Drosophila melanogaster: one gene and its partners. Changing the gene in region 1 together with any one later gene gives a genetic interaction. Each region holds a gene or a part of one and is shown in the gene's direction. Other genes may lie near its edges.

Region 1 (4,624 bases):
GTACTCGGTGTACATGAGGCAAAAAGATGTTGTGCTAAGTCCATGTCGTTCTTTGTTGCGTGGCCTGGGCAAGGCGGCCACGTTGCCTCTGGGAGTTTTCGCTGGAGATGTTCAAATAGACGATATGGAGACTGTTCAAAACTTCATCGTGGTGGCGGATGAAAAAATGGAAGGTGATGGAAGTGCATTGGATACGATTTTCTATCGAAGTTTCAATTTACACTGGATGTAAATGGGTTTACGTTTTGTGTCGTTATCAGCTTGGCCTGAGGTAGCTAACATTAACCAGATAAGTATTCACGATTATGTTTGCACTGAAAGTAATGTGAATGCTCCTCCCCAATTTGCACCTATGATACGGAAGCTGATAGACGAATATCATCCAACCTCCAATTGTGCCGGATGAGAAAATTAAGACGTTTCGTCATCAACCAAGTCGACATCCGCCAGTTAAAGCCAAAGCCGTTAAAAAACAAGTCGATGACTGGTTAAAAGAAGAAATCGATTGACCATCTACTTCAAGCTTCGCCAGTAGAACTGTCGTAGTGAAGAAAAAAGTACGGCACTTACAGAATCTGTATAGGACTATCGCCAATTAAACAGCATGGTTCTCAAGGATTGCTTCCCTGTGTCGATTTCCTGCAATTCTACTGCGGCATTTATAAGATTTATAAACCACATATTCCCGAGACATTCTACAACTCTATATGGATGATATTATAATATATGGACAGACGAATGACGAATGTATTAAGAAACTAAAGTTGGTGCTATTAGAATCAGCGAAGTTCGGCTTACGTATAAAGTGAAAGAAATGTCATTTCATACGCACGATATTGGAAGAACGACCTTACAATGACCTTAAACTGAAGGGAGGAGTTTTATTCATGTTTGTCAAAGGAAATGATTTGCTTATTGTACCTAAAATAATCGAACGTAAGATTATAAACGAAGCTCATGGATTCGGACATTATGCAAACCAGAACAAACCGTACATTCTATACAACAGCAGTTTTGGATTCCACACCTAGAGAGCAAGGTCGAAAAGCTTATAGACGCGTGTATTCCGTGTATTATTACGAACAAAAAGCTGGGCAAACAGGATGGACTTTTATGATGCATTGAGAAAGGTGACAAGCCGTTACACAATATAAGTACATCTTCGCACTTGTTGGTGGATTTTTGAAATTCGTGTGGATTTTTACTACAAAATGTCTTAACAACAACTGGAGTTGCCAGAGGAAATGGGCGGGTAGAGAGAATTAAATAGATCTATCTTATCGTTTTAAAAATACAACAACGATTGAAAACTCTCGAAATGGGATGTACTGGCGCCATCTATCGGAGGTAATAGGTACCCCGAGACGCATGCAAAGCGCCAGAGGGCGACACAGCTCCTCTGACGAGATGGCATCACTATTTTTATTGGGAGTATTGGTATCTCGGGTGTAAAAATTAAATTGATGCCTAATTTTTGAAAATATGTCACACAAATAATAAGTATCTTTTAAGTGGATAGATCCATTGATGTCGCTGGAATTAAAAATACAAATACCAATGTTATCGTTATCGGCGAGTCCACACTGTGCTAGGCAAAAATATCGACGTACCTTGCGCCCGATATCTGGCACTAATGTATCGATGACGGTCTTGTTAAATTATTAAAAAAAAAACAAGTTTGTACTTGAAAAGTACGGCGTATATCTACAGCGAAGAACGCAAGAACCCGCCAAGGCAGCGTCCGATGCAGACGCCATCTGTTCAAGCATTGAGCCCGGAATCCGGAGGAATCCCGGCCAGGATGTGATGTGCGCACTGGGCCCTCTCCGCTGGTCGATATAAACTCGTGCCCCCCTCTTCTAGCCACCTTCTTGCTGTCAACCGCCTGCTCATTCTACCCCACAGTTCCAGTCCCAGTCCTGCACAGCAATCATCTTCGCCTGGAGAAGTCTACCGGTAGCACGAGTGGTGGAACCAGGCAGACTACAAAGGACACGGAGACCGCGGTGTCTGGGAAATCGGCTGAGCACGGAAACCGATCCACTAGGGTTGGCATCACGCACCACTTTGTCCAGGAACCTGCAGCTGAGGAATCTAGATAACATCTGAAGTCTCCTGGGAACTGCGAAACACACCATATCTTAGCAAAATGACGTGGTAAAAGTTGTCAGTCGCAATCTATACAAAGGCAAGAAACTTTATGATGAATCCAGGTCTAGATCTTGCAAAGATTCCGAAAACTCTGTCCCCAAGAGGGAACCAAAGGCACAGTTAGCCAGCAATGAAATCGGGAACCCACGGAATCGTAGCCACTAAAAAGGCGAAATCCCGGTAATTCTACCAAAATAGCGCACCACCTGGACACCATAGAAGAGAGCCTTAAGGCAAGGAATCGGTGGCATACTTGGACAGTTGAAGAGAACTTTAAATCTGGTAATCAGCGGCGCCAAATGCAACTGCAACTGGTAAACTAGTACTCATTTGTAAGCCAAAACACTGACAAACAAAAGCTGCATCTGAAAAGCAAGTAGAGAACACCAGGATACTTAGCGTTCCACGGAGATGGCCACAGCATCGCTGGACGCACTGCAGGCAGCCTATGTGGACTTCAGTGAGATAACACTAAGAGAGGTGTGCATACCAAACGGAATATACCCAAAGTCTAGAGCTCCTATTGGTGTATACGTATACGCAATCTTGAAACGATAAACAACCAGTAATCATATACCATTTAGGGCAGAGCAAGTACTCATTCTTAGTTAGTCAGACGATTATCGCACTTTCAAAAAGCATGTTTTAATCTATAAACGGTTATTTTTTCGTTTTAAAAGTGTATGCTTTGTAACAGCTCTGTTAAAAAACCCAAGAAAGGTTTTATATTTTAAACTTACGCATTCCTAAATGCTTACATTCGTTTTAGGATTTCGTTTCAAACTTATTAAAACAAACTACAGACTGTATACAAATATCAGCATATTTATTAACGATACGATCTTATCAGTTTGATAAGAAACGAATTTCAAATTTACCCATCACAATGCGTTCGTGTGTTCTACTTGAAGTCAATTCAAACTGTGTTAGACCAAGGTGTATAACGTAATTAGTATTGAGGAGTTTTGCACAAGGAGGGTACAACTGTTGAATCAGATCTAATAATCTTTTTCCCCGCAGAAAGTCGGCCATGGGTCCTACGGAGTGGTCTGCAAGGCCGTTTGGCGCGACAAGCTGGTTGCCGTCAAGGAGTTCTTCGCCAGCGCCGAGCAGAAGGACATCGAGAAGGAGGTGAAGCAGTTGTCGCGCGTGAAGCACCCGAACATCATCGCTCTGCACGGGATATCCTCGTACCAGCAGGCCACCTACCTGATAATGGAGTTCGCCGAAGGTGGATCGCTGCACAACTTCCTTCACGGCAAGGTGAAGCCGGCATATTCTCTGGCCCACGCCATGAGCTGGGCGCGCCAATGTGCAGAGGTAGGTCGTCGTCGAGGGGCGGGGCGGTTATAACGTAGGGCTCAACCCCGTAGCGCTTTCCATCCAATTCGTTGAAATTATCTGGTGAAATAATGACTCAAATGGATTGTGGTAATTCACATTGCTTGCATGATTACTTAAACAATTTCAATAGCTATTCCGCATAACCAGAATTAAAATAATAGTAATTTGTTTAAAGTTTAGCCCTAATTACATTTCCATTTGTTTTCCTCTCTAGGGTCTGGCATATTTGCATGCCATGACGCCAAAACCACTAATACATCGCGACGTGAAGCCGCTGAACCTGCTCTTGACCAACAAGGGACGCAATCTGAAGATATGCGACTTCGGCACGGTGGCGGACAAGTCGACCATGATGACCAACAATCGCGGCAGTGCCGCTTGGATGGCGCCCGAGGTCTTCGAAGGCTCCAAGTATACGGAGAAGTGTGACATTTTTAGCTGGGCCATTGTTCTATGGGAGGTTCTGTCCAGGAAGCAGCCCTTTAAAGGCATCGACAATGCCTACACCATCCAGTGGAAGATCTACAAGGGTGCGTCCTCCAATTCACTCTTTTTCCATCGAGCTTATCGAGATCTGTGCTCCTCGCAGGTGAACGCCCGCCGCTGCTGACCACTTGCCCCAAGCGCATCGAGGACCTGATGACCGCCTGCTGGAAAACGGTGCCCGAGGATCGCCCGTCGATGCAGTACATAGTGGGCGTTATGCACGAGATCGTCAAGGACTATACGGGGGCGGACAAGGCCCTGGAATACACGTTTGTTAATCAACAGGTGAGACAGCTTTATTGGGTCAATACACAATTGTAAAAGAGTCAATTGGTGTTTTTATCTATTGAGGAAAGCGTTCTTTTACTCTGCCCGTCTTTAAAACCTAATTTAAATTCGATATTGTTTGGCACTAAATGCAATCATTACCCTATACGGATAACATCACTTTTGCGTTATTTTCCTTTGCCACACATTGCTAACTCTTGATCCTTGAACTGCTCGCAGATTGTCACCAAAGAGAGCGACGGCACGGTGGCCGCTCAACCGGATAGCCTCAGTTCGCAGGAGGGGGAACTGAGCCCCTCGTCCACACAGTTAACACCGACAACGGCGGCCAACGCCAATGTGAACGCGATAGCAA
Region 2 (7,834 bases), about 12 Mb from region 1:
CATGCAAGACGCTACGCAAAATTTACGATTTTCTTAGCGAAGAGTTAGCTCTCTTTTCGGTTTCTATTGTGTGTGATTAGTTGCGTTTGCCGTATTTTTAGCCCGTTCCGGAGGATTTATTACGTGCAATCCGCCCGTGCGCTGCGCACGCCCGCGTCTGCCGCCGATTTGGAATTGCCACGACGTTGCGTTGAAATGTTGCGCGTAACTGAGTGGCACAGCCTGGTGCTGCCGCCGTTGCTGCTGCCACTTCTGCTGCTGCCGCTGCCGCTGCCGCTGCTGCTGCTGGTGATGCTGGCACACAGCCTCGCCGACCACTGCCGAGACTGCTCTCCTCTCCGGGCGAAGCGAGTGGCGTTTGCCCAGCGGTACAGGTCCTGGTCCTGGGCCGTAGTGTCCTGCGCCGCTCTGCTCCTGGCTCCGGATCCGGCAAAGGCTGTCACTACGACTACGGGAGTTGCGGATGTAGCGCCACATCAGCCAGCAGCCCGGTTTCGTTTCGGTTTCCATCGGCTCGGCACGAGTCGCTCTGTTGCCGAAGCACAGTGGGCCCAATCGGACCATAATTAGATGTTCAAAATTGGTTAATAATATTACAATATTTGTGCAACATAAATGTGAAGAAAATTATCTACGCTATGTTTCTAGCACTCGCTGCTTGTACATTTTTTAGCAATAAAACCTTGAAATATCATAAACATGTGTATAAAGATGTTGAGATGCATAAAATACACTAAATTACAACCAATTAGTTAATTATTGTTTTAAATTATCGGCTTAACTCTTTAAAATGTCATATTTTTATGGTTTTTGAGCGATTGATTAGCATTCCATTCCACTGTGCGATGCCGACGCTGGACCAAAAGGATGAACGGCGCAGCGTCGCAGCCGAAAGGACACGAGCGCCGCCGAACTTTTCAAGGGAGCGTAGCAGAGGGAGGGGACTTACTAAACACATGGCATGGACTAGGCCACCCAGCATCCACAAGCCACTAACACCCACCACCGACCCAATACACACCACCCACCACCCACACAAGGGCGCGTGTTGGGCGCCCGACGAGAGAGTCAGTGGCGTGGGTGGGGGGTTGGTGGTGTTGGTAGTGAGGATACACAGTATACACAGCGTTCCGTTCCGCGATGCAACAGCAACATCATCAGGCCATATCCGCATCGGCAAAACAGGCCAAACAGCCAAAGCGGCCAAAGCAGCAGCAGCAGCAGCAGCAGCTGTAAGCCCCCCTTTTCCATGGATTTCCCCGACTTCTCTGCAAAAATCATGCGCATCACGAAATAGCCGAATATCAAAACGGAAAACATATGACAGCGACATTCCATTTGAAACGTGATTTTAAATAATTATTTCACATTATGTGATTTAATCGAAGTGCATGACATTCGATATATTCAATCTTTAATAGTTTTAAATGAATGCAAGTGTTACAATAGCCCCATTGATGGTAGCATAATTTTCAGTTTGCATTGATAACGACTAAGTTCAATTATTTATTCGATTAAATATTAAGTTGTTAAGTTGTTAAAAACTGAAGAAGTTCAATTAATGCAATCGTTCTGGTTTACGGTACTTTAAATTCAGTTAATTTAAATTTACACATCAACAATGCTTTTGAGTTTTGCATGTATGTTAATAGGATTTAAATACTAAAATTTTTACATTTCAAGCACATTTCAAATTTGAATATTAACGGTCAATAAAATAATCGACATGATAAATACCAATATTGAAAATACTGAATAAGGTATTTTGAAATACCAAATATTTTGCGTTGCCCAACACCGTTTTGATGGCATTTTTTAGTACATTTGCGAATGGAACTAGTATAAATGCAGCAACTGGTTTATGTGAGCCACAACAAAATGATCGACAAAACCTTGTTCTACCACAAATATTAACAATTACCAATATAAAGGTATTTAAACAACTACCTTGATCACAATTTTAGTTAAAATTATGCCAACGAACTGGAACCAAAATCCCAGGTGAACCGCAAATGTAACCAGTTCACTCGGCTGGGTCCAAAGACCAGTTCAATTAAACTAGTTCACATTTGAACAGTGCAACTCTAGTTTTTTTTTTTTAATACATATGTGTTTAAAAAACATATGCAGAAACGGGCTAATAAAACGGATATAACCGATTGCACAGGATCAAGGATAGATCAAAATAACCGACGACGTTAACGGCGACTGCGACTGCGAGAGAGCGACCATGGTGTGCAGCAGCGCGTGTGCGTGTGTGTGTGTTTTGTACCGTGTTGTCTGATTGTGTGCCGTTGTTGTTGTGATTGTTGTTCTCGCTGTTGCTATTGTTTTTGCTCTTGTGCGTGTGGTCAACGGACGGACAGACGGACGGACAGTGGGACACAAGGAGAGTGGAGAATCCGAATCCGGTGGGCAGGAGAGCAGGATTAGCCGCAACATCCTTACCCGTAAGCTGACCCCACCCCACCCCCTTTGGCAACAAATATTACTAAGCTGCTGCTTCTTCTTCGCCCCTTTTGCGGTTTTATCTCTCTTTCACACACAGCGAAACAAAAGCAAGTTAAAAAGCGAAGGAAGCAAAGAGAAAACAACAAAAAAGGAAAAGAAGCAGAAAACAAAAACAAAGAAGAGATTCATGGTTTCCATGTCGCCAACTGTGCGCCTCTGATGCCCTCGCAGGTCTCCCGAGGATTGGACACCACCAACATGCTGCCGATCAGCGAGGAGCAGCAGCTGCAACAGCAGCAGCAGCAGCAGCAGTTAGAGCAACTGCATCATCCGCAGATACCAGAGATTCCCATACCAGATCTAGAGCAAGTCGAGACCCAGGTGGGCGATGGCAGCCTGTGGACCGCGCTGTATGACTACGATGCCCAGGGCGAGGATGAGCTGACACTGCGACGCGGCGAAATCGTTGTGGTCCTGTCCACGGACAGCGAGGTGTCTGGCGATGTGGGCTGGTGGACCGGCAAGATTGGAGATAAGGTGATTGATTACCTTTCTAACAATGAACCATTGAACTAAACCCCAATCTTTCTCCTGCAGGTCGGTGTCTTTCCCAAGGACTTTGTCACCGATGAGGACCCACTGCAACTGAATGTCTCGTCCGCCATTGGCGACATCCAGCCGCATGAGATCGAATACAATGAGCTGGACATCAAGGAAGTTATCGGCTCCGGTGGCTTCTGCAAGGTCCATCGTGGCTACTACGATGGCGAGGAGGTGGCTATTAAGATTGCCCATCAAACGGGCGAGGATGATATGCAGAGGATGCGGGACAATGTCCTGCAGGAGGCCAAACTGTTTTGGGCCCTCAAGCACGAAAATATAGCAGCCCTGCGAGGAGTATGTCTGAATACCAAACTCTGTCTGGTGATGGAGTATGCCAGGGGAGGAAGTCTCAATCGCATACTGGCTGGCAAGATACCACCCGATGTACTAGTCAACTGGGCCATTCAGATAGCCAGAGGCATGAACTATCTGCACAATGAGGCGCCCATGTCGATCATACATCGCGACCTCAAGTCCTCCAATGTGCTGATCTACGAGGCCATCGAGGGCAATCATCTGCAGCAGAAGACGCTCAAGATCACGGATTTCGGTTTGGCCAGGGAGATGTACAACACGCAGAGGATGAGTGCGGCGGGCACGTACGCTTGGATGCCACCGGAGGTCATCAGCGTTAGCACCTATTCCAAGTGAGCTCCATTTCTCTCACACTCTGTCGTCTGTCTTCCTAACTAACAAAACTCCTTACCCGCCAGATTCTCCGATGTTTGGAGCTACGGTGTCTTGCTGTGGGAACTGATAACGGGCGAGACGCCCTACAAGGGCTTCGATCCGTTGTCCGTGGCCTATGGCGTGGCTGTTAACACGCTGACATTGCCCATACCAAAAACCTGCCCCGAGACGTGGGGAGCCCTGATGAAGAGTAAGTGAACGCAATAGACAATGATCCTATACATATTATTGTAATATTTCATTATGTCCAAATCCCGCAGGCTGCTGGCAAACGGATCCGCACAAGCGACCGGGCTTCAAGGAGATTCTCAAACAGCTGGAGAGCATCGCATGCTCCAAATTCACCCTAACGCCCCAGGAGTCGTTTCACTACATGCAGGAATGCTGGCGAAAGGAGATCGCTGGAGTGCTACACGATTTGCGCGAAAAAGAAAAGGTACCAACTGTCTGGAAAACGCCAGGCAAACTGAAAATATAAACTCCCCCTACCTGTTTGAGTTGCTCTAGATCGTTTCTAGACCGTTCCTTGTTGGCCTTACGCCGCGCCCTTCAGTTCTTCCATAGTCGTTCCCCTCTTTCTCCCACTTGGTCGTTGTTGATGAAATTCTAATAATTTGGTATATACTCTCTCTCCAAAACAAAACAATACAAAATTCCCTTGTTTTACAATAAAACATCCAACGACGTTAAGCGTTTCCAAACCATCGAAGAGGTAAGCGCGTCCAACAGGTTTCTCTTGCCCGCCGTTTGCGTTTCAATTGCGTTGCGTTGCGTTTCGTTCTGTTGTTTCGTTTCGTTTCGTTACATTACTTTACTCTATTCTACATTACTTTACTCTATTCTATTTTACCCAAAGTTATCCTGTTTTTTTTTTATTATTGGCTGGATAACTCCCACGATAGAGCCGCACACAAGCCAACAGCTGCATGGTTTCTAGTTCCTAGTTAATGCTATTTTCTAGCACATGTCCCCGTGTACAGTGATCATGCTTAGCCCACACTAACCCGCCACGTTCCACCATGTTATCCCTTTTAATCCCGACAGGAACTGCGCAACAAGGAAGAGCAGCTGCTCAGGGTGCAAAACGAGCAGCGCGAAAAGGCGAATCTCCTGAAGATCCGGGAGCAGAATCTGCGCGAGCGTGAAAGAGTGTTGATCGAACGGGAGCTTGTCATGTTGCAGCCGGTGCCATCGAAACGCAAACACAAAAAGGGCAAAAAGGTATGTGAGTCAAATTAGCCAAAAAAAAATCTTGCATAACATATCTTATATCTATCTTTTAGAACAAACCACTGCAGATATCGCTGCCCACGGGCTTCCGGCACACGATTACGGCTGTACGCGACAAGGCGGAACAGCCGGGATCACCTTCCTTCTCCGGATTGCGCATCGTGGCACGTGAGTACTTTGTCTATCCCAGAGATCTGATTAATTTGAGGGTATTATATATAGTACAGTCCTATGATGAATTATACTTTTCAATCATGGTTTTATGGTATATTTGTTAGACTTAACTCTATGTACGTATGTCTCTGATGAGAATTCAGTGCATTATGCAGGTCTTTGAGATAAGATTAGGCATTAAGTAGACCCAAAATTAGAACAGGAGACTAGACGTCATGGCCATGGGAATGTAAGATACCACCTCGTATCGTTGGACAAATTGAACTAGATTATTTGCATATTTTTGTTATCATTATTTTTGAATTAATTTTTGTATATTTTATTGATTTGCCTTTGGTTTCTTCGTTATGTTCTTATGTTCCGTATTATTTTGATGACATTGGGGTGAATCAGTGACCGATGGGCACAAGGGCAAGACGTGGGGCCCGTCGACGATGCACCAGCGGGAGCGATCCCTATTGCCTTCGCAACTGAGCGGCGGTCAGCCGGAATGGCCCGCCCAGACCTCAACTCACTCCTCATTCAGCAAGAGTGCTCCGAATCTGGACAAGAAGCAGCAGCAGCAGAACCAGCAACAGGTGGCCTCGCTGACACCGCCGCCGGGTTTGGGAATTTTGGGTGGAAGTGGAGGCGCTGGTGGGACGCCGGCCACACCATTGTTGTACCCAGGTATACCCATTATACTAACGCGCCCCAACAACAACAACATTGGCAATTGTAAAGCCATCACCACCACCATCACAACTACCACCACCACAACCACCAACAACAACAACAACAACAACAACAGCATCTCCGCCAACAACAACAATCAGCTAAATAATATTAGTACTATTAATAGCAATAACAATAACAATCAAACTAACCTGACCTCCCAACCGAACACGATAATTGTCCTCCAAAACGGCCGGAACAACTCCAACAGCAGCACCACCAGTCAATCCCCAGCCAAGATCTACCATCGCGCCAGGAGCCAGGAGTACGGACTTGATCATCCGCTTGCTTATCAGCCACCACCACTCTATTTGGTAACGGATGACAGCTCGGAAACGGACACCGTTGCCAGTCCGACCGGTTGCTTTCACTTCCTGAAGTCCGGCAATTCATCGGCGGCCAGTGGTGCCGTGCATCTGCATCGCTTTGGCGGCAGTCTGGGCAACAGTCCAGCTGTGGGCAGAAAGAAGCATTCGCTGGACAGCAGCAGTCATCATCCGCCTGCGAACGGTAGCAATAGCTTTGCACTGCCCAACCAGTTAACTCTGCCATCGGAGGATAACAATACGTATGACCATGCCTTCTATCGGGATGTGATCAAAAAGATGTCCATGGCCAGCAGCGAAAGGGTAAACTCCAAATCCAGTGGCGACCTGACCATGTACAACTCCAGCACACCGCTGACTGCCAGGGATTGCGATGATGCGGAGGAGGCCTTCGAGGGTGGACGCTTTCAGCGTAACTTTTCCGGCTCGCAGTTTCCACGGCACTGCTTCTTCACCAGGCAGGAGGAGGAAGGGGAAGCAGAGGATGAGGACGCGGTGGCGGCGGAGGTGGACACAGCAGATGCGGATGCCGACGATGAGTGTCAAGTGCCCGCCAGTCAGATGCGCCAGAACTCCACCACGTCGCGCAAGAGTTCAGTGACCTTCCAGAGCGTCAGTTTCGAAGAGCCCGATTTTGTGGCCACGCCGCGAACGACTGCCAGATCGGATCTATATACATCCAGTGCCTCAATTAGCTTCGCCACCTACCGCTCCGCCTCGCCATCGCTGTCCTCATCGTCCACCACTGCGTCCGCCTCACCGTCCATTGCTTCTACGGAAGCCGTGAACGGCTATCACATGCAGGAGAACTCCATACTGAATACGCGTCGGATGCAAGATGTTCAGCCGCATCCCGATGTCATTAAGCTGCGGGCCCAGGAACAGCGCCAGCAGACCAAGAACCAAAAGAAGCAACGGCCCAAGCACATAACCAAATCCAAGTCTGTTGAGGCGCCAGTCGAGGGACAGCACCATGAACATGATGACCACAATGATCCCCAGCACCAGCATCACTCGGCTGGATCGAGCAAAATCCGTGCCCTTTTCAATCTCTTTACGCGCTCGCGAAAGAAGTACAGCAAGCTGGCGGAGCACAACATGGTCGGTGGACCCGAGTTCTGTGCCATTGATCCCTATCAAACCGATTTGGCGATGGGGGGCAGCAGTCGCTCTTTGAAGCGCAAAGGCAAAAAGCCGCAGACGCAATCCTGCGAGCAACTGGAGCGATGCTAAAGTCCCAGTTGTGCGCCGTGCTGCAGTGTTGCTGTTGGAGTTGGCCGCCAGATGAGAACCGCCTAATTAGCTCATTGTTTTATATTAAAACTGTAGACTAAGTCAGACGCAAAGGAAGAGCGAAGAGATGAAACAGCAGGCGAGGATTAGCCATAGCTAATGTGTGAAATTAGTAGGGCCCAGAGATACAGATACCTATCCGAATTCTTTCCGTCTAACGAAATCATAGAACTAAACAAAAAACCCCTCTGTCCGCGGTTGGCATTTCATAATAACCGAATTGTTCCTAACGAATGCAATATGTTGTGCGAAATTCACAAATCAAGTTAATCCCTAATTAGTCCAGTGATTTGTTTTGTTTTTTTTTTTGTGCCAGAGGAGTGGCTAGAAAATTGCAATGTGTAGCACAGAAG
Region 3 (7,892 bases), on another chromosome or scaffold:
AGAAGCGCTACTTACTCAATGGGGGGAGAATATGTGTAATGGCATGACTGGGTGTCTGTACTGTAGCTAAGTCAATTGCCCGGCATTGACTTTGAAAAATCGCCTCGAGATCGTCTTGCTTCTTGGCCGTGCTCCATTAAGTGAGGCTGATGGTTAACCCTCTGTGCAAGCACGTGATATATCTAGATCTTACAATATCATGTACATCGACATACCAGCTCAATGCTGATATATGTACATATATGTTTGCACAGATCATTGAATCAGATTCATTAACACTGCATAAAACCAAAAAGGTCTCAGAGCTTAGATTGAAACAATTCGTCCGATTTATTCCATAATTAATTAAGCTTTTCACAACTGAATTTATATAAAACAAATGATGTAATACAAAAAAGTAAGATACAAAACACAAAAAAGTAATAGAAGCTTTTCAAAAACTATTGTATATACAAATGTACATACATATGTATATGTATATAATTTTAAATCATTGATTTACCATTTCCGAACATTGAAAATTATAAATAAAAATGTGGTCTTGCACAATGCGAAAACAGATAACGACTAATGGGTTAAGAAGTGCACCGGAAGCGTGTGCCATCCGATCCCCGCTCTTACGGCCTGAGCAGTTCTACCTGTGGTTACCTGTTTGTCGCAGACGATTAGAAACTAATTAGCTGACCAACGCCGACATTTGCATCTCTGCCGAATGACGACACTCTTGGGCGGATTTACGATACGGGTCTGTTTGGCAGCCGGTTCGGCAGACTAGTTGTCGCGACGGTGGCTGATCGGATCGGATCAGCATTAGGTTTATGGCTACCCCGCTACCCGTAATTAGAACCCGTACTTAGGCACGGCGCTGACAGACCCCGATCGTCGGTCTAAGTAATAATAAATACGATTTTAATGAAATGCTAAAAGTTCATTTGGCTTATCTATGGGTTTGTCAACGATCCGCCACTTTTCGGAACTCAATTAGCTGCGGCTCGGGAATCGAAGATCGGGGATCTGTTCCATGTCAGTGTCATGAAGGGAGCTCGAACAAAGCAGCCACACAAAGAAAATGAAGCGAAAACCCGGGGATGCGAAGCCAAGCCGCTTACAGTGGTGCCGATTTCAAAAAGCAATCGAGCAACCCCTATAAATCACAGGGGGAGGTTTTAAGTGCACATAACACATAAAAAGAAATAAAAGCAGTGGAAAACACTGCGCAAAAAGTCAAACACGCTTTGCTACTTATGATCGCCATATGTGCAAGGGAAATCGGAACCAAGTACAGTCTGTCTTGGCTAAAAACAACGATGAGATGGTCTTCAATATGGCATCCAATATTCTAAATTAGATACACTATTTTCTTCTCTTTTGATAAATGTTATTAAAGTTCGTTATTTGAGCATTTCAATTTGATATTGAAATTATGATAACATTGTTAAATTGTTAACAACTTTAGACTATATGAACTATTATTTAGTGTTATATCATATTATAAATCATATTTTTGTAAATATTTCTTATGCACACCATGATTATGAGTTTCATACAAATAATTTGTTATAATAAATAAAAATCGTATCTACATATACATATGTACATGTAAAATTGTAGAAATATAATAATTAATTTAATTCCTGTTAGCCAGAGCCCACTGTATCACCAAAACACCACCCCGGGAGAACCTTGCCAAAAATTAATTACACAAAGTAAACAGCGCAGGCGCCCTTAAGTATGCCGCGCATCCTCGCCACGTGAGCGAGGGAGACGGTGCCAATCCGTTGTCCCTCTTGCTCGCCTGCCTGCTCGAACGTGAGAAATCAAGTGCCGCTCGGTTCGTTTTCCCTCAGTTCACGCTCCCGTTCTCAGTTCAAATTCATTCTCTTTCGAATCGTCGACGCGAACGGACGTTTAAAGTGAGAAAAGAAACCGGTAAATCAGAGATCCCAAGCAAGCGCGTGCGTGCATGATAGCGAAGAAAAAAAGCTATCCGTTTCAGTTAACTACTTACCAAGATTGAATTTCGCCATCGGGCAAATTACTAAAAATACATAAGTGCAACTCGTCCACTGTGTGTTGTGTTTTTTTTTTTTTTTTTGGTTTTCGCTGTGCCTTTATCGCAAACAAGAACTGATAAAACTAGAAAATATCTTGAGAAACTTGTTTTCGCGCTTTTCTTTTGCTAATTGCCGATCGCGGAAGAGAAAAACAAGCAGTAGACAAAACAAGTGTGGTAATACAATCTGAAAAGGGCACCATCAGCAGCCCGAGGGGTTTATCTATATAGATGTCGCAGCTTATCATCTCATGCTGTCTGTGAGGTTGTTCTGTGTGCTCGTGTAGTATCTTAAATACATAGAGTGTGTTCATATAAAGTGCGACAAAGCTCGATTGGAAACAGCTGTCGAGTGCCCTTGAGTGGGTGGGCAAGATCGTCATCATCATCATCGTCGTCATTATCAACAGAATCAGCATCAGCATCTGGAGGCCCCGGTTGCTCTAAGATCCCCAGTGTTCATCAATTATGACTGCCGAGACCCTCAAGCCGTTTATAACGCCAACGAGTGCCAACGATGATGGTTTTCCGGCCAAAGCGACCAGCACGGCGACCGCCCAGCGACGCACCCGCCAGCTGATCCCCCTGGTTTTGGGGTTCATCGGTCTGGGGCTGGTCGTTGCCATTCTCGCACTAACGGTAAGTTTTCCTTCACAATCATTTACCCAATAGCAGCCCAATCAGGTATTATTGCCCATTTGGATCGACTATCGCGATTCTAAACACACCAATTAGACTCTGAACTGAATGAAATCGTACTACAAAATTTTCATTAAGATGCTATTAATTGATAACATTGCGTCTCTATCTGCCTACTTAAGATAACAAACCATGCTTAAAGATGTTTAATTAAGGTGGCACAAATCATACTTAGTATTGAAATAATTACAAATAAATAAATAGTATAACATATTTTATGTGTGTTTGAGCGTCGTACAATCTCTTCAGTCGCATTTTATGTTTTTAATGTTTTTTAGCACACTAAAATCGTCAAATGTGCTGAATAGATTTAGTTAATGAATATAATTTGAAAAAGATTAAAGTAGTCACCTCCAAATTGAAATAGCTATTCCATACTTGAATGCCTTTTTTTTTGTTTGTTGTGTGCGATTAATGATTCGTCGGAATTCCAAAGGTGTGGGTATATCAGTTATTGGTGGGAGTTTCCCCAGAATATAGATAGGAATGAGTTGTTATGGGCTATGTTGTTTAATGATATTTTGGGCGCCAAAGTGGGCCAATCATGATTATATGGCCGTTTTAATGACTGTTTCGAAACGAGTGTAAAGGTATTACACTGATTCTTAAACTAGACTTTTGTAGAATTTGTGTTTTATTGTGTTTTTAGTGTTTTATTTTGGTAGTTTAATTTATAATTTTGCTTAGTTATCTCTCCAAAAACCATCACAACGACAGTTAGTTTTATCTGGAAAACAGATTGCACCAATAAAGTAATGAAAGCATAAAAACAGAGAGATTCCATTCAGCCATGAACCGCCTTCTAGACTCTGAACAGACTCCTATTTTTCGGAAATGTTTATTTCAGTAGCTTGCCAAAATAAAATGCGAATAAATATAAATGCAAATTGGACTTTAACAACGTATGTGTATAGACACCCCCGAAATCGCAATCTAAAAATGAATATTTAACCTTTGGCACGCTTCGGCTTATAAAGCTGTTTGTCACAAAGTCTTTGTTGATGCCAAATTAAAGACGAAATTCCGCGGATGCATAAATTGAAATGAAAACAGACTTTATGATCCGTGACCGTCGCAGATAGGTTAACTATAATTTGGCATGAAACTATATTTAGAGCGGGAAAAACGGCGGTTTCTTGGCTGATCAAGCGATGTCATCACCGACACGTCTTTAGGCCAAATCGGTTCCTAATGATCCAGCTAATCCAAATAAAGCGGATGCAGATGCTAGAGAAATGTTTATCGGTACATGTCTGTTCTTCCCTTTTGTTTTTGTTCAACCGATTTAAATGCCACTGAGTCCGTTCTGTTATGCATTCGATAAATCTTCGACTGGGTTGTTGTGTCATGTTTTTCCCTGATAACTTTGCGAATGAGTGTGCTCGCTGAAATCCGGATTTGAATTGCAGAAGATTAAGTTTGTGGACTTGAATCTGGTCCTTCTCTCCCACCCCCATTTCCCCCCCCCTCACCCAGGACTCCTCCATGACCCACTCAACTTTGGCTTAAGTGAACGGAAATCGTACAATTGACAATTGACTTGTAAATGATTGGCTTCAGCCACTGACGTGGGCCTCAAGTTCGGTTTTCCTCATAAATCTCCGTTAAGCCATGAAGCATTTTTCGTTGTTTAATTCAATTTCACTGACATTCGTACAAAGTAACCCTCATCATTTGGGGCCCTCTAAGAAAGTGACAAACTGCAGGCGCTGCGATCGATCTACTGATCGCCGATAAGCTCTAATGGAAAGTGGTTCACTGGAAACTTAAACAAGTTTCTTGGGTCTGCGTAAAGTCCATAATTTATACAAGAATTCAGTACAAGTTGTTGTGTGTACCTACATGTATGTACATGTGTATATTTCCCCGTCTGCGCGTACAGTGGCTTAAGTTGAGCCATTCTTTTCGATTTCGGCTGCCAGTCGAGACTTGAGAAGTGTCCGTATATAAGGCCTCTGCTCGGCCCGAATGTTAATGATCCATTAAGCAGATTATGTGGCTGAGTGGCGATCGTACGTACCCCGCCGTATTTCCCCACGAAATCTTTCTCGTCTCGCCTCTATCAGTTTGTTCAGTTAGTTTTTATATATTTTTCGGGTGTCAAAAGTTCGCGGCACTGGGTGTTATATGATGTGCCGGGCCTTAGCACCAGCTATAGATGTTTAATTGGGGCTACGTTAAATTGATTGCCCAATTGCTAATGAGCGGATGATTAGAAACGAGCCTGAATGAGTGTGTAACAATTGAATTATCTTATCTTGCAGATCTGGCAGACAACGCGTGTATCGCATCTGGACAAGGAGCTGAAGAGCCTGAAGCGAGTCGTCGATAATCTCCAGCAGCGTTTGGGCATAAACTATCTGGACGAGTTCGACGAGTTCCAAAAGGAGGTGAGCAATTGCGTAAATCACTTTCGAGCATCAATATTTGTACTCGGCGATGGGGCAGGGGCTGTAACATTTGCCCCGGGCAAATACAGATACCTCGAATTGTTTACAAAGTCGGAAATGATTGTTATTCCTTGAGGCTGGTACTTGAGTTTTTAATGAGGGTATATCGAACTTTTGTTATTGAGTATCTATTATGTTTAGTTTTCTTTTTGCCTAAAGGGTAATTTGCATTTTATGATGGCAAACTCTGGCTAGGGTATCTCACAGTCGGTAAGCCATGCGCCTGTTTTTGAAAAAGAATGCCTCAAAAAAATGACCAGACGTAATATGTGGTTATTGTGTGGGACATACAAAAATATTTATAGAATTATGTGCTAAAATATAATTTCGACGCTGTTTCATCTGTTATTTGTTTCATTTTTTTTTGTTAGCTGCTTGGCCAAAGGCACATAGAAAATTGTGATAGATTATTTGAATTATAATGTCTCTTTCCGCAAGGAAACACTCATTTCAAATATGAGGCGCCAGCCAGTTCACGTAATTTATGAGATACAAATCCCCAAGTGACAAAAGGTAAAAGCCCCAATAATTCAACAAAAATACTAGGCTCTATCAGTAGATATAGTCGTTCAAGGCGAGCGATCGCTTTTGGCTGTATGTGACGATTGATCGAATCTCATCAAATGGCCTAATGGCCAGAGATGGTTTTAAGATTTTAAGATTTATTTATATTTTGATGGCTGGGCATCTGTGGTGCCAATTCTCTTGAGAGTTTCCTTCGCTTTTAAATATATGTATGATGTACACAAGTATATGTATACGAGTATCATGTTTTTGAGCGAGGCGCCATCAATTAGGATGATGACGAAACAGCCTGTGCTGCGGGCGTGTGTCTAAAAATGAACGTCCCAAATGGATGTGAGATATGTGCCAGGACTGTGCCAGCTGCAGTCACGTACTTGGCCAAGTCTTCTGACCCAAAATGCTGATGCCCATCCCTTCGTTGCAGTACGAGAATGCCCTCATCGACTATCCAAAAAAGGTGGATGGCCTCACGGATGAGGAGGACGACGACGATGGCGATGGTCTGGATTCCATTGCGGACGACGAGGACGACGACGTTAGCTATAGCTCTGTGGATGATGTTGGCGCAGACTACGAGGACTACACCGATATGTTAAATAAACTCAACAATGCACATACCGGCACCACGCCCACATCTGAGACCACTGCTGAGGGCGAGGGCGAGACGGACAGTGCATCCTCAGCCTCAAATGATGACAATGTGTTCGATGACTTTACCAGCTACAATGCCCACAAAAAGAAGCAGGAGAGGTGAGCACGGATGAAATTTTCAGGGATTTATCGTATTAAGCCTCTGCTTTTCCTCTTCACAGAAAATCTCGCTCGATTGCCGATGTACGCAATGAGGAGCAGAATATTCAAGGAAATCACACAGAGCTTCAGGAAAAGTCATCCAATGAGGCAACTTCCAAAGAGAGGTAAGTAGAACGTTCCGTTGAAAACAGGCAAGAAAAACCATTAATGAAGTTATATGCTATGGGTTAAAGATAGATAGTTAACTGCGTAACTGAAACACATATGTATACATTTTCTTTTTACTTGAAGCCCTGCACCACTTCACCACCGTCGCAGAATGCATTCCCGCCATCGCCACCTCCTAGTCCGCAAAGGTGTGTAGTGTAGAAAAGCGAAACAATTGGCAAAAATCGAATACCAAATCTCTATTCGCACCTCTGTTAATTTGCAGGTGAATCTCTTCTTTCAGCCAGATCCGAGGACTCGAGGCCAGCAGCCCATTTCCACTTGAGCAGCAGGCGGCGTCACCAAGGAAGTATGGGTAAGGAGATGCTTCCGCGTCAAGCGTGTACATACAAGTACTACAGGCAACCTAATGAAGTCACTTCTTGAATTTCTCAGGCTACCATGGAGATATGTACATAGGAAATGATAACGAGAGAAACTCTTATCAGGGACACTTTCAAACGCGCGATGGCGTCTTGACGGTGACCAATACAGGCCTATATTACGTATACGCCCAGATATGCTACAACAACTCGCACGACCAGAACGGATTTATCGTCTTTCAAGGAGACACTCCATTCCTGCAGTGCTTGAACACGGTGCCCACCAACATGCCACATAAGGTGCACACCTGCCACACGAGTGGTCTGATCCACCTGGAACGAAACGAGAGGATCCATCTGAAGGACATTCACAACGATCGCAATGCAGTTCTGCGGGAGGGAAACAACCGAAGCTACTTTGGCATCTTCAAGGTGTAAATTGGAGAGATTATCCCCGGTCAGAAGATGGAATACCAGTTTAAGCTTTTGTCCCCGCGACTGCTCGTGAATGCGATTCATCGCCAGCGTGAATCCATTAGTTCGTAGTACCTAGTCTTAGTCACTCCAAACCTAATCTCAATCGGAATCGTGCATACTGCATTAGTCAGAAGACGGAGGAAAATCATATTTATTTTGTATATACTCGTTCGACTCTAAAAAGTGAATAAAAATATATGTAGCTATTACCCGCTTGTGTAAGCGTGTTTAAGAAACATCAATTGAATCAATTGCTACCAGTTGCAATTGAAAATATTATAATCTTCTAAATAATGAATATTCGTTCTTAGTATAATTCGATTCAAAATGCTTCAAATGCTTTCAATTCAAATCTCAAATGAAGAGCCATTCAAAGATATCCCTCAGCTTTATTTGTGCAATTCC

What was found. Genes that interact genetically often act in the same process or in processes that back each other up.
Region 2: of Tak1 (region 1) and slpr, changing one enhances a phenotype caused by changing the other (phenotypic enhancement), as found in Drosophila melanogaster (2 studies listed by BioGRID).
Region 3: of Tak1 (region 1) and egr, changing one suppresses a phenotype caused by changing the other (phenotypic suppression), as found in Drosophila melanogaster (7 studies listed by BioGRID).

What each region holds. Positions count from the first base shown.
Region 1 is NC_004354.4:20,521,906-20,526,529, reverse strand, and holds the start of Tak1 (TGF-beta activated kinase 1), read left to right. Parts: upstream 1-1,601; 5' UTR 1,602-2,562; coding exon 2,563-2,631; intron 2,632-3,171; coding exon 3,172-3,471; intron 3,472-3,709; coding exon 3,710-4,025; intron 4,026-4,084; coding exon 4,085-4,266; intron 4,267-4,488; coding exon 4,489-4,624. UniProt on the Drosophila melanogaster protein: Component of a protein kinase signal transduction cascade. Mediator of TGF-beta signal transduction. Responsible for activation of the JNK MAPK pathway (basket, bsk and hemipterous, hep) in response to LPS.
Region 2 is NC_004354.4:8,171,169-8,179,002, reverse strand, and holds the start of slpr (slipper), read left to right. Parts: upstream 1-1,817; 5' UTR 1,818-2,450; intron 2,451-2,548; 5' UTR 2,549-2,709; coding exon 2,710-2,988; intron 2,989-3,048; coding exon 3,049-3,701; intron 3,702-3,767; coding exon 3,768-3,934; intron 3,935-4,004; coding exon 4,005-4,180; intron 4,181-4,435; coding exon 4,436-4,456; intron 4,457-4,788; coding exon 4,789-4,965; intron 4,966-5,027; coding exon 5,028-5,142; intron 5,143-5,541; coding exon 5,542-7,421; 3' UTR 7,422-7,834. UniProt on the Drosophila melanogaster protein: Activates the JUN N-terminal pathway during dorsal closure.
Region 3 is NT_033778.4:10,076,491-10,084,382, forward strand, and holds egr (eiger), read left to right. Parts: upstream 1-1,875; 5' UTR 1,876-2,521; coding exon 2,522-2,692; intron 2,693-4,122; exon of another isoform or gene 4,123-4,204; intron 4,205-4,297; exon of another isoform or gene 4,298-4,434; intron 4,435-4,697; exon of another isoform or gene 4,698-4,835; intron 4,836-5,016; coding exon 5,017-5,142; intron 5,143-5,762; exon of another isoform or gene 5,763-5,832; intron 5,833-6,151; coding exon 6,152-6,477; intron 6,478-6,539; coding exon 6,540-6,644; intron 6,645-6,771; coding exon 6,772-6,836; intron 6,837-6,913; coding exon 6,914-7,003; intron 7,004-7,083; coding exon 7,084-7,448; 3' UTR 7,449-7,720; downstream 7,721-7,892.